Drosophila melanogaster: one gene and its partner. The protein of the gene in region 1 interacts with the protein of each later gene in a biochemical or structural test. Each region holds a gene or a part of one and is shown in the gene's direction. Other genes may lie near its edges.

What was found.
Region 2: of the proteins of Zw (region 1) and Sik3, one has a biochemical effect on the other in vitro, tested with the Drosophila melanogaster proteins (one study listed by BioGRID).

What each region holds. Positions count from the first base shown.
Region 1 is NC_004354.4:19,665,110-19,672,853, forward strand, and holds Zw (zwischenferment), read left to right. Parts: upstream 1-2,142; 5' UTR 2,143-2,492; coding exon 2,493-2,511; exon of another isoform or gene 2,512-2,637; intron 2,638-4,612; exon of another isoform or gene 4,613-4,958; intron 4,959-5,230; exon of another isoform or gene 5,231-5,304; intron 5,305-5,374; coding exon 5,375-5,634; intron 5,635-5,696; coding exon 5,697-5,914; intron 5,915-5,999; coding exon 6,000-7,077; 3' UTR 7,078-7,244; downstream 7,245-7,744. Other genes in the region: Ssu72 CTD phosphatase, read left to right, coding at 1-84, 143-244; et (eye transformer), read right to left, coding at 7,527-7,744. UniProt on the Drosophila melanogaster protein: Cytosolic glucose-6-phosphate dehydrogenase that catalyzes the first and rate-limiting step of the oxidative branch within the pentose phosphate pathway/shunt, an alternative route to glycolysis for the dissimilation of carbohydrates and a major source of reducing power and metabolic intermediates for fatty acid and nucleic acid biosynthetic processes.
Region 2 is NT_033778.4:18,686,256-18,691,318, forward strand, and holds the start of Sik3 (Salt-inducible kinase 3), read left to right. Parts: upstream 1-1,876; 5' UTR 1,877-2,295; exon of another isoform or gene 2,296-2,393; intron 2,394-5,063. Other genes in the region: CG44433 (uncharacterized protein), read right to left, coding at 1-361; CG42855 (uncharacterized protein), read left to right, coding at 1,194-1,424.

The sequences.
Region 1 (7,744 bases):
GTGCACGTTCTCAACGTGGATGTGGTGGACAACGCTGAAGATGCGCTAATGGGCGCCTTTGTCATCACAGACATGATAAACATGGTATGATCATCTGTCGTCCATTCCCTCAATTCGCCCAACGATTCTTGTGCCTTTGCAGATGGCCAAGTCCACGGACCTGGACAACGACATCGACGAATTGATCCAGGAGTTCGAGGAGCGCCGCAAGCGGGTCATCCTGCACTCGGTGCTCTTCTACTGACGACCGACGTCTGCTAACAGTTCGTGTCCAGCTCCAGCACCAACACCAGACTCCCGTAGCCCCGACGCGCTCCAGCCGAGTCACTCGATCTTGTACCCCAGGGGCTGCGATCGCAGAGCATAGGACGTCGGGCATTGCGCGCAGCGCGTGCGGATCCTGGGTTCCGGATTGGTAGCCTAGCATATAAGAATACTGTAAATAGAGAGGGGCCATCGCTGCAGCGAAAGCACATCCAACAACGACCAGCACCCACACACTCGCATACTCCAAACACCTGATTCGTAATCCACATCAACACCACACATGCAAGCAACTGGCTAATGAATTGGAATATAACACACAACCAATGACGACCATTTCCACACGGCTGCCCCCCAAAACCCCTGTAGTAGTATGTGTACGTGTCCGTATTCCTTGTAATTTCGCCCGTCGACTGGGGGTCTTATCACAGGCTCTCGCTTCCCTCAGCTGGCGAAGGCGCCGACCATCTGACTCCGACCCGTTCTCCCGTTCGGCCGCTCTGCCGCTCTCTTCGCCCGGCTTTGAGTCCGATTCGGACTCAGATTCGGATTCGATTCACATAAAGTGAAATCTCGCATCGTGATTGTGTGAATGAGCATGCACGCCAGAGAGCCACACAGGGGCGGAACGGTCTGGGCCCTCGCGGGCAGGGGCCGCGTTTTTTAATTTTACACAGTTTTACCAATTGTTCAGACAGGGCAAACCCGACCGACCTTGGTTGGGGCTGTGCGTTTTAAACCAAAGGCAAAGGCCCGCAACGGGCGCTAGCTTGCAATAGAAAATAAACAACAGGGGAGTTGTGTTCACTAAGGATTGGAATAAAAGTGCACGCCAATTTATGCCGGTTTCTTGTTGACGGCCTGTGTCACATTTACCCTGCGACCTCAAACCTGCCTAGGTCTTCTCTTCGACGGAAATACCATTGATTACGTCTCATCCCACTGCTACCTCGGAGTTCACCTTGATCGGACGCTGAGTTGGAAAGCCCTTATCACGGCTCCTGGAAACTGAAAAAGCTGGACTGGGTTTTCCACTCAAGCAAACTCCATATGGCAACTAAGGCTCTCTTAATAAAAGCCATATCCAAGTGTGGGGAACAGAGTATTAGAGTAAGACAATCGGGAGCGGCACGACATGCATCTGGGCTACATGTGGTATGTGAGCAATAGAGTTATTGAAGGGGACTTAAAAGGTGTCCCATTGGGGTACCAAATAAACTTCCATAGCAGCCGATATGCCGACAGACTTAGCGCCCACTTAAACACGTTAGCGAATGATCTTGTCGACCCTATTTCCCTCCGATGTCTGAAGAGAATACATCCCCATGAACTCCTTACACGTAATATAGCATAATCTCTCCTCGGTACATTTGTATACACTATAATTAAGGAACAGAATCCATAATATCTTTTAAGCTACACATTAGGTTAACTTCAGAAGGAACTGATCGATTCCTACTGACTAATGAATAATAATAAATGATTTAAACTCTAAAAAGAAATGTTGACGTTTGCTCGTTTTCACTGACCAAATACGACGTGATTCTAGGTAGGATTAGAAATTGTAAGGGTGTTGTTTAGTAATGTGGGAATCATAATTCTAGCATAATTTCATCATTAAACTCATCAACGCATCAGATCAATGCTCTCAGATTAAACAGTTTTATTTCCATGTTATACTATGATATCGTATTATTTGTATATTTATGTGTTATCCATCAATTCCATTCACATGTAAATCCAGATCGAATGGGCCCCCGCGCGCACTGAATCCGCTCCTGTCTGCGATCAGCTGCGCAGTCGGGGTTACAAAGCGTCTGCTGCTTTAGCTGTTGTTGCTGGTGTGTTGGTGTTGTTGCCATTGGCAGTGCTTGCTTGGGCGTTTGTTTGCTGCGGCGGTTCGCGCCGCGCTTCAGTCAGTCAGGGAACGATCGTGCTTATCTTCATTACTACTACCGCTTCCACCGAGGCTTCGCGACTCCGTACCCGTACTCGCTTTGTTTTACGTTTGCGCTACTAGTTAGTGAATCCGACGACGACGACCTGCGCGTGCGATTAAAGCGCCGCAACTCTTTGTAATTACACAGCCAGAGCCGCAGAGGTTGCTCAAAATCCAGCGACTGGAGAAATCGTATATCGAGTTGGAAATCCGAATCGAAAGGCTTGCGTATACATAGTTGTCACACTTTTGCTTTTAAACAGAAAAATCCATTCACATTCGGGTCAAGATGGCAACGCAAAAGGAAGGTGAGTATCGCAGCTTTGGGCAATTGGTATCGAATTGGATTCCACACCGCGTACTGTTACCAATTCGATTTTCGGGCGCGTACTTGCCGCGATCACTGTCGCGCCAGGTGGACTGGCTTTCCAATCGGAATCCGATTGCGAGTGCGAGAGCCAGTGCCAGTGCCAGTGCCCGTGCCAGTGCGCCCTTCAAATGTGCTCTTCGCCTGGCACTGGGGGTCACCTACAAAAAGCAGAGGACGCGGACTCGGCCGACTGTCTTCTTATCACAGGAGAGGCCACACCGCTGCTCCGCTCCCGCACCCGCACCGCTCTCTATCATACTTTCATACTTCCACTCTCCACTACCACTGGCCACTCTCCACCTGTCACTCTTACTCTCACTCCTCCACGCCTACTACTCACTCCCCCAACTACCCATCCAGCCGAGCGATGACGTGTGGGCGCCGCTCTTGGCCATCGGACGGGCTTGGATCCGAGCGGCCAGCTAAAACAAACACTCGCTGCGTGCTCCAAGATTAGAACCCGGCAATAGCAATAACCTTTGGCGGCAGCGCGAACTCTCCAGTCCCCAGTCCCCAATCTCCGTTCTCCACTCTGTGGCAATGACATTGGAACGCATGCATGTGTACATTCTACGCACGGTTAATTAGCTGCCCACCTGCGTTCTACACGAGAAGCCTTTCCAAACAGAAACCAAAAAAAAAAAAAAGAAAACAAAAACAACAGCGGACAACAAATGCAAACTCGCTTGGCGTTAATAATATTCAAACGCGTTACCTTGCTCACCGCCTATTACTTTCTCCCTTCTCCACTCGCCCTCTACATTCGGCTGCTCTCCATTCTCCAATCTCCATTCTCCTTGCCCCAATGCCTTCGCTTCGTCTGTGTCAATGTCAAATGCGATGCGGCCGAGATTACAGTCGAGCTTCGATAAGTGAAACCAAGCTGAGTCAAGCAAAAATGCGAAGACTTGAGCAAGCAAGGCAAAACAAACGGGAAATTAAGACATATGGCAAACTCAAAAAAAAGGTTAAAGTCATTTATGTTCCTGCTAGGCAAACACCACTGTCGGCTTGTGACTCACAATCTCGGCATTTGAAGGAGCTCGCTAGCCTCTTAGTCACCATCCATCCATCCACCAGCACCATCCAACTCACTGGCTGTGTAATCTTTCGAAGCTCCTACAGCCGAAAAGTATGCATTACCGGCGTTCGCAGAGATCGGCCTCGGAATTAGGGTTAAATTCCAGCTCAACTCATATCTTCGGAGAGCCCAGGTAGCCCGCCGTAGAATCACGTGATTCACCGAGACCCATCCACTTCGACATTTAAACGACTCACAATGATTCTCAAAAACGAACGCAGTGCCCCATGATGTTTCCAGAAGCTCATATTATCGAAATCTATATTTTATGACACCGTGACAGTGCCTGCATTAGTGGCTCGCAACCCTTTTTAAACGACACACAATGATTCTCAAAAACGAACGCAGTGCCCCTCCTCCATTCATTTTCCAAAAGCTCATTATATCGAAATCTATGTTATGACACCGCGACAGTGCCTCCATTATTGGCTCACAACCTTTTTGAAACATTTTCCGAATGATTTTCCTATGACCTCTAAGATACGAACGTGCACACATTCAAAATCGGGGAGCTTTAGGTTTTCAAGATTTTGAGATTTTTGAACTTTTGAAAAAGTCTATCTACATACTCGTAGTTATTTTTAGAGATATACTACAGAGGTTTACTAAAGGCTAGTTACTAGTTTGCAAGAACAGTATCCCTAGTAGATCACATAGCAGCAGATCAAGTATATATCATCCATTAAGCATACAACACTGTAATCTCTTCCGATCTGTGCGGGAAGTGATGCCATCGTGGGTTCATCTGATCATCCGACCGATCGCATTCCCGCCACGCGATCGACTGATGCTGCCCGTTCCGAAGCCAAGTTTGGATATACGGTGAATAGTGATGTATGTACATACATACGTCCGGAGCACTTGGCTTGCACTTTGTGCCCAAGTTCGCCTCGCCGTCGACGTCGCTGCCGGGTTCATCGCTTACACCTTGTTAAAGTCGACCGCAGCGCGGCGATTTATTCGTTTTGTGCAACCGCATCGGAAGATACGCGCGTGCACCTGCTCCACCTTTTACACCTGGCCAAGCTTCCGCCACCTAACCCAGTTCCACCTGGCCCAGCCCACAGCTATCCGGGCATCAATTAGCGCCCGCTGCGGAGGTTGACCTCTGGCGGATTCTTTGGCCAGTCATCGGGATCGAATCGAATCGAATCGAATCGAATCGGATCGGATCGGATCGGAGTTGATTAGACAACGGACCCCGGTCTTATCGAGTGCTTATCGCTCCCCCTTCCCTTGACATTGAATAGGCCTTCAAATAGTCTGCATTCGGGCCCAGACCATCAGTTGCCTCCAGGCCCTCGGTGAGTCCTCACGCAGCTCATTCTGACCAACCAATCACCAACCATACGGAGTCGATGAGTCCCCCGGTGATCTATGCAAGCCAAAGGGCAAGGTCACTGAAAATTCCCGCACATCCTAAAGCTGATAGCATTTTTTTTGTTTTTCTCACTGTGCAACTAACAACTAAGAAGTAGAGAACCCCTATACCATTCTCACTTTATAGTTTAGCAGTAAAAGCAATGCATTTAAGGAAGCTATAACTATTTCTAGTTCATTTAGTTCCCTTTGATAAAGTTTTGACAGTTGAAAAAAGTTACTTAGTGAAAAAAACAAGTAGAAATTCCTGGATATCCACAGAGCCACAGAGTAATAGTCTTAAGTGGAATTCAAAGCCAGAGTAAGCCTAACCAGATCCGCCTTTCATATGTGCCCACAGATCACACCGCCCTGGATCTCATAATCAAGTCACTCAAGTCGCCTACAATGGTCTGCGAGGGAACCCACTTTGACGGCAAGATTCCGCACACGTTCGTCATCTTTGGGGCGTCGGGCGATCTGGCCAAGAAGAAGATCTACCCCACGCTCTGGTGGCTCTACCGCGATGACCTGCTGCCCAAGCCGACCAAGTTCTGCGGCTATGCCCGTTCCATGCTGACCGTCGATAGCATCAAGGAGCAGTGTCTGCCGTACATGAAGGTGCGTTCGGGATTTGGTCATAGGCCATTTGCATCGCATTAACCCAACCCATTGCCACACAGGTCCAGCCGCACGAGCAGAAGAAGTACGAGGAGTTCTGGGCCCTCAATGAGTACGTGTCCGGCAGATATGACGGACGCACTGGCTTCGAGCTGCTTAACCAGCAGCTGGAGATTATGGAGAACAAGAACAAGGCCAACCGCATCTTCTATCTGGCCCTGCCGCCCAGCGTCTTCGAGGAGGTGACTGTCAACATCAAGCAGATCTGCATGTCGGTCTGGTGAGTATAAGATCAAGATCAAGATCCAGATGCATTTAATTTGAAACCCGATACTTATGTACACCTATAACCCGTTCGCTTGCAGCGGTTGGAACCGCGTGATTATCGAGAAGCCTTTCGGCCGGGATGACGCCTCCTCGCAGGCGCTGAGCGACCATCTGGCCGGTCTGTTCCAGGAGGATCAGCTGTACCGCATCGATCACTACCTGGGCAAGGAGATGGTGCAGAACCTGATGACCATACGCTTCGGCAACAAGATCCTCAGCTCGACGTGGAACCGCGAGAACATCGCCTCCGTGCTGATCACGTTCAAGGAGCCCTTCGGCACGCAGGGTCGTGGCGGCTACTTCGACGAGTTCGGCATCATACGCGACGTGATGCAGAACCATCTGCTGCAGATCCTCTCGCTGGTGGCCATGGAGAAGCCGGTGAGCTGCCACCCGGACGACATTCGTGACGAGAAGGTCAAGGTGCTGAAGAGCATCGAGGCCCTGACGCTGGATGACATGGTGCTGGGCCAGTACCTGGGCAATCCGCAGGGTACAAACGATGATGCGCGCACGGGCTACGTGGAGGACCCCACCGTTAGCAACGATTCGAACACGCCCACCTACGCCCTCGGCGTGCTCAAGATCAACAACGAGCGCTGGCAGGGAGTGCCCTTCATCCTGCGCTGCGGCAAGGCGCTGAACGAGCGCAAGGCGGAGGTGCGTATCCAGTACCAGGACGTGCCCGGCGACATCTTCGAGGGCAATACGAAGCGCAACGAGCTGGTCATCCGCGTCCAGCCGGGCGAGGCCCTGTACTTTAAGATGATGACCAAGAGCCCCGGCATCACGTTCGACATCGAGGAGACGGAGCTGGACCTCACCTACGAGCACCGCTACAAGGACTCCTACCTGCCGGACGCGTACGAGCGTCTCATCCTCGACGTCTTCTGCGGCTCCCAGATGCACTTCGTCCGCTCGGACGAGCTGCGCGAGGCGTGGCGCATATTTACGCCCATTCTGCACCAGATCGAGAAGGAGCACATTCGGCCAATCACCTACCAGTACGGATCGCGCGGTCCCAAGGAGGCGGACCGCAAGTGCGAGGAGAACAATTTCAAGTACTCCGGCTCCTACAAGTGGCACGGCGGCAAGGCGGCCACGTCCAATCACTGAGCGTTTGGAGCACACCAATCCCCGGGCTGGGTTCGCAGGATACTCCTCTCTGTCCGCACGTACATGTACATACATACATATATATGTATATATACATATATGCATTCTTTGGTTATTTGTAATTCGGTCTGTACAAGATTTTTTTTTATTAAATATACAAAATAGTGTTTAGCTGGAGCAGAACGATCTTCTAACTCATAATCCCGGCTAGTTCGATGTGTATGTGGTGATGCCGATCGCATGCGTGTCGATGTACATAAATAGATCCTTCATAGGATGGCAGATGGGTGGCAAACGTAACCCTACGGTTGTAATACTAACTAAATAATGAGTATGCTTCTGGTCAGTGGGCTTCGGTGCTGAGCCGGGCTAGTTACTAGCGGCTCCTCTCGAATATAGATTTACAGGCGAACTACAACAAGAGCGGGCAGCAATCTTCCCGAGAGATTTCAGCGCACGGGTGGCGGCTTGATGTACCCATCGCCGCAGGGCGCGCCTATTGCGCTCATGGACACATACTGATTGGTTACGTACGCATCGGCCTGGGGCACGGGCTGTGGTCTGGGCACCTCCTGCAGCTCTATCTCCGGCCACCTCGTGGGCTCCTCTTCCGCAAATGTCACGGTTTTGCGCACTGTGCCGTAGAACTTCTCCGGCGGAACATTGG
Region 2 (5,063 bases), on another chromosome or scaffold:
TAGAAACACTTCGACTTGGATAGGATCCATTGCTGGCGTTTTGATAGCCCCTTTGAAATTGCATTTGAGGATGCTGCTGCAGTCCGTAGTTTGGTATGAAGCTCTGAATCGAAGCGCTTTTTCGCTGGGATTTCATTAGCTGCCCTCGCAAACGACTCAATTTCCGGCTACTGACTTCCGGCGGAGCTAAAACCGCCATTCGCGGCATGGCGCCACCAAATTTGTTGCACACGGAATGCCAATATTCTGGCATAGCGGCAACTAATGGAGCTCGGGCGAATTGCTGCTGCTGCCACAGCTGCTGATAGGCATTCATCGAAGCCTGCTTGGCCGAATTAGTCAGTACCCTTCTCCGAACCATGCTGGATTTAATGGATTCTTATTGATTCGCTTGAGGTTTTGTTCTTCAACTGCTGACTCTGAAAGTTTCTGCTGGCTTGCTTTGCCGTTGAATAGTTTTTTTTTCTGGTTTAATTGGGGCTTGTGGGTTCATTGAAAATTTTGGATGCACTTTTGGTGCCATATCTGTTATTGGAAAAACCCTGACAATTGGTAAACGGCCTGCTATGAAATGTTTGTTTATAAGGCTATAGAACTGCAATATTTTGTTCATTCTTGTGATAAACAACATATTTTTATCAAAAAAAAAAAAAAAATTTATTTGTCCATTCAAGTAATATAAAACTTTCAATCTTAAATGTATTTTCAAAATATGGTTTTCAAATTAATTTAAATCGTTTAAATTCTGTCTTATATATATTCCTTAGTTTCTCGCAGTGGTGCACAAACTTTGAAATGACGTCACGCGACTCCTGGTGCGTAACTCATTTGGTCCTCTCGCTCATTCTTACTCTCTCTCTCTCTCCACCTACGCAATTTCCGTTTTAGTGGTGTAGTGAAATTCCCGGCTCCATTTTCATTCAGGTGGCTGCTGGTGGAAAGTTGAATCAACGGCCAGCTGGAAGGCATTCATTCATGGACGGGGTCCTTCCAAGATGCCACTTGGTTTCGTGCGTATTCCAAGCTGCGCAGGAAGTAGAAATTTCCGTTACAAAAGCAAGCGTCGAAAAGGACTTTCATGAACAGACAATCAAATAAACTCATTTCATTTACAAGTTTCAAGTGAACATAATCCAGTTTTCAGATTGTTCTATATTTTCCATAGATTTTTTAAGTTTTATTTCTCAAGAAAAATGGTCTCCTTTGGCGGTGTGGCAAAACTATTGAGCAGCTTCGAGTGCTGTGCCAGTTCGTGGGTCAAAGCCGTAAATCCCGGATGGTACGAGGCTCGTGAGATTCCGAAGACCATCCTGATCCAGAAAGTGCGACAGGTGCCCCAGAATACCAGGGTGATACGCCAGAGACCCCAAACCGCGGAGCCGCCCAAAAAATCCTCCAGCCAAAAGCGCCAACTTTATCTCTAAGCTCCAAAAAGTTGGGGAAATAATGACTCATTGGTTAGTATTTTACTAAAGCAATTGCTCTGATTCTTACCATATACTCTTTGATGGACGCCTGAAAGTATGCAGAGAAATCCAACCTTTTGTTAAGACTTTAAGCCTTGTAAATTGATGCAGAGAGGACTTCAAAATCTTACAAGCTATTAACTTTTATTTTATTACTATAAATTTAATGTTTTGTTTCTTTGTTTGCTTCCAGGCTAAACATTGTTTATATATTTTCAACAAGTCTAAAGCACACATATAATTTTCATTTACAGATTTAAGTGTTTTAATCGAATGTACATTGTATTGGTAAATATGTAACGAATTTAAATCTGCATTTAGTGTTGGCTAATATCCGCTTTCTTCCACAGAGTTGTCTCGCAGTCGTCATCGATTTCGTCATTTTGTCTGCTTCGCTACACGGCCACACTGAGTCGGTGCCGAGTTTTTGCTTCGCGAGCAGGTGGTGTTGTCCAATCAGAATCGCCGTAGACGGCACGAATAACAGAAAAAAATTCCAATAGAACAGCCGAGGGCGATTATTTATGTGTGTTCATGTTAAATGTTAAATGCAAAATTACGCGTCGCACGCTGCGCCCACGCGATTTCGAATCCGCATCCGATTGTTCAGTGCAAACACACACACACCAACCAAGTGAATATAATATGTAAGCGAAAGGCAAGAAGCCAGCAACAAAGCGCCAGTGATAAGCGCAATAATATAAATGCAATATAGTATAAATTCAACGTGAAAAGAAATCTCGCCAGCGAAATACAAAAAAAAGCGGAGGAAGCGACAAATGGAAATCAAGTAAAATGAAGAAGAGCGGAGAGATAGAAATCGTAATGTGTAAGCGCGACCAGAGCGTATGAAAAAATCGAAAAAAAAAAACGGTGGAGCGAAGATTAAATAAATTTACAAGTGTGTTTTGTATTTGACCAGCTTTTGTGAGTGTTGTTATTGTTGTTTTTGCGGAGGCTGAAAGAAAAGCGGAATAACAACAACACAGCAGCAGCAGCGCTGTTGCATGTGTGTGTGTGGTGAGCAACTATTTCCAGTGATGAGCGCGTGACACGATATGCGCTTCCACCAGTTCACAGCATAGAGTGCAATAAAAGAGCTCGTGACCCACGCGGCCATCTCGAATGGCCACCGAGATGCGGAAGCTAAAAACATATTCATGAATGGCAATTATGTGACGTGCGCTGCGGCAAGTTTTACCTTCGATTCCGAGCCGTGGAAAAAGGAAAACAAAAAAAATGCGCGTACGATTTTCCACTTTGGAAGTCGTGACGTTTTCCCATACATAACGGTGTGAGCGTGTACGAGTGTGTGTGTGGTTGTATGTTTGCGGTGGGGGCTCTCTGTCTCTCTCACTCGTTCGCTTTTATACGCATGTGTGTGTGTGCGTGCGTACGTCATTGCAACTCCGGTAAAACGCAAATAAGGGGCAGCGAAAAGCCAATTGCCGTTGAGTGGTCTAATTGGACACCTTGCGTATGCATTGTTTGTACTATTTACCATTTGGCGACCCGTTATCAATTGCAGGTGCTTTCTCCTGTAAACAGTGTGTGGTGTGTGTGAGTGCGTGCGACCTCGACAAGTTCTTTTTCATTCTTTTGTCGTCACACATATGCAATTGCACGGGAATAAAAGAAGTGTAGTGATCTTGAATAAAATCTTGTTTCATTAACTACAACACTGAAAGTCGAAATGGACATTCCTAAAATGAATTGATAGCTATTTTTGTATGGATTGAGCAAAAGCGAAAAGCCCAAATTCGTTTTGCTCAATCTTTACTGTTTTTTTAAAATTACTACTGAGAAGCAAAGAGTACGTTCTCATTATGTTTTGAATTTTAAATGAGTTTTGAGATTTTTTTTATCTCTAAAGCAAATATGTCACTGCGAATTAACCCAAGAAACCTTAAAAATGTTTTTATAAATGTTTTAAAATATATTTAAAAATCTGTAAAAATAACGTTCAATAGTATTTCTTTCAGTTTAGTTGGCTATTTCTTGGAGTTACAAAAATTATTTTGAAATTCATAGCACAGATCACATTTTCTCTTTGTGTATGCCCCAGTAATTGTAATTTTCATACGGGTTGCGGTAGTTTTCCTGTAAAATTCCTTGACTCCTTGGAGTCCCAAGCCCCCAAACACATACACAAGCTGTTGCTGCGCCCCCGCTCACGCACACATGCAAATGGGCGCCCTGCTGATAGTGCCTTCTCCCTCTTAGCTTTGTCAGTCGATGGAGAACCCACGATTGTCTCTCTTCTCGCATATTTGCTTTGCTCCGTCGCCCTATCCCTTTTTCTCTGCCCACTACCCACCGTTCGCCACCCCCACTCCCACTCGCCCCCTCTCTTTCCGTCTGCTTTTCTGTCTGGCTTTGGATGCTGTGTAAGTCCAAGTTCTCTAGTTGTTGTTGCTGCTGCTTTTGGTTTTTCGGCTCTCTTTTGCTTTCGGCTTGTTGCCTCATTTATTTTACTTGTCGTTTCTTTTTTGCCTTTCGCTTGCTGTTGTTTTTATTTTTTTAATCATTTTTGTCTCTCCGATTTGGTAAAAAAGAGTCAAAACAACTGCTAGTTATCAGCAAAATTGGCCAGATACGTTGAATACCCAACTCTTGCTTCAAAAGCAGTTTTAAAAGCGTTTTTTTCAAGTAGTAGGCACTTTTATGCTACTAAATGTTAAGGTTCTCTATGTTTATTTAAGGATATATTTACTGTAGCAGTTTAAAATCGGATAGTTCAAAGATTTACATATGTATAGGTTCAAATCACACTTTGCTTCAAATCAGTCTTTTGTATAATTCAATACTTTTTAACTTCCATTCAGCGAATTAAAGCTAGACTTTAATAATGATTCAATAAATTATTTAAATTATTTATAGTTTAAAAAAAATAATGAATAGAGTAACTCCTCTTTGAGTACACCGTGCGATACATATATAGTGGATTTTTAGCACCTTTGACCCGGTGACGTCTTTTACATCCCCACCACATAGTGCTGCGTGCTCTGTTTCCCTCTTACAGTCGCTCCCTCTCGCTCTGCGCTGGAAGTGTGTGTGGCTGGCTGGAAGCGAGGTCGCAGCCTCCCCGGCTTCAGTTAGCCGGAGAAGTATCTTCCAGGTTGGAAGTTCATTCAGTTTTGACTTTTGACTCCGTCCGCTTCGTACTTCGCGTGGTTCGGTCTGCGGTATGCCATTCGCTTGCTAATTCCACAAAAATTCTACAACTGTTTTGTGTCTTTCCACTGATAAATGCAAATAAACAATAGGAAAGCGTACGCGAAAACCTTTCAGAAATGTGAGAAAATCGGTGGATGTGAGAGGAAGCGAGAGGGTGAGGTGTCCAGCTGCCGCGGCTCTTTTCACACCCGCGAAATATCACGAGAAAGTTTTGGGGGAAAACAATTTGTTTGGATTATGCGAGTGTGTGGCGAGTGTTGGTTGGGTTAATGTTTGATCGTCGTCGTCGCCGCCTGCTTCCTCTTCTTCGCACACACTCTGGTCTAAATTGATTTCAATGAGCTTTTTGACGACTACCCCTCTCTGTTCCCCACCGCTATCACCGTCCCTTTCGCTTCACGATTATGTGCGAATGTGGCT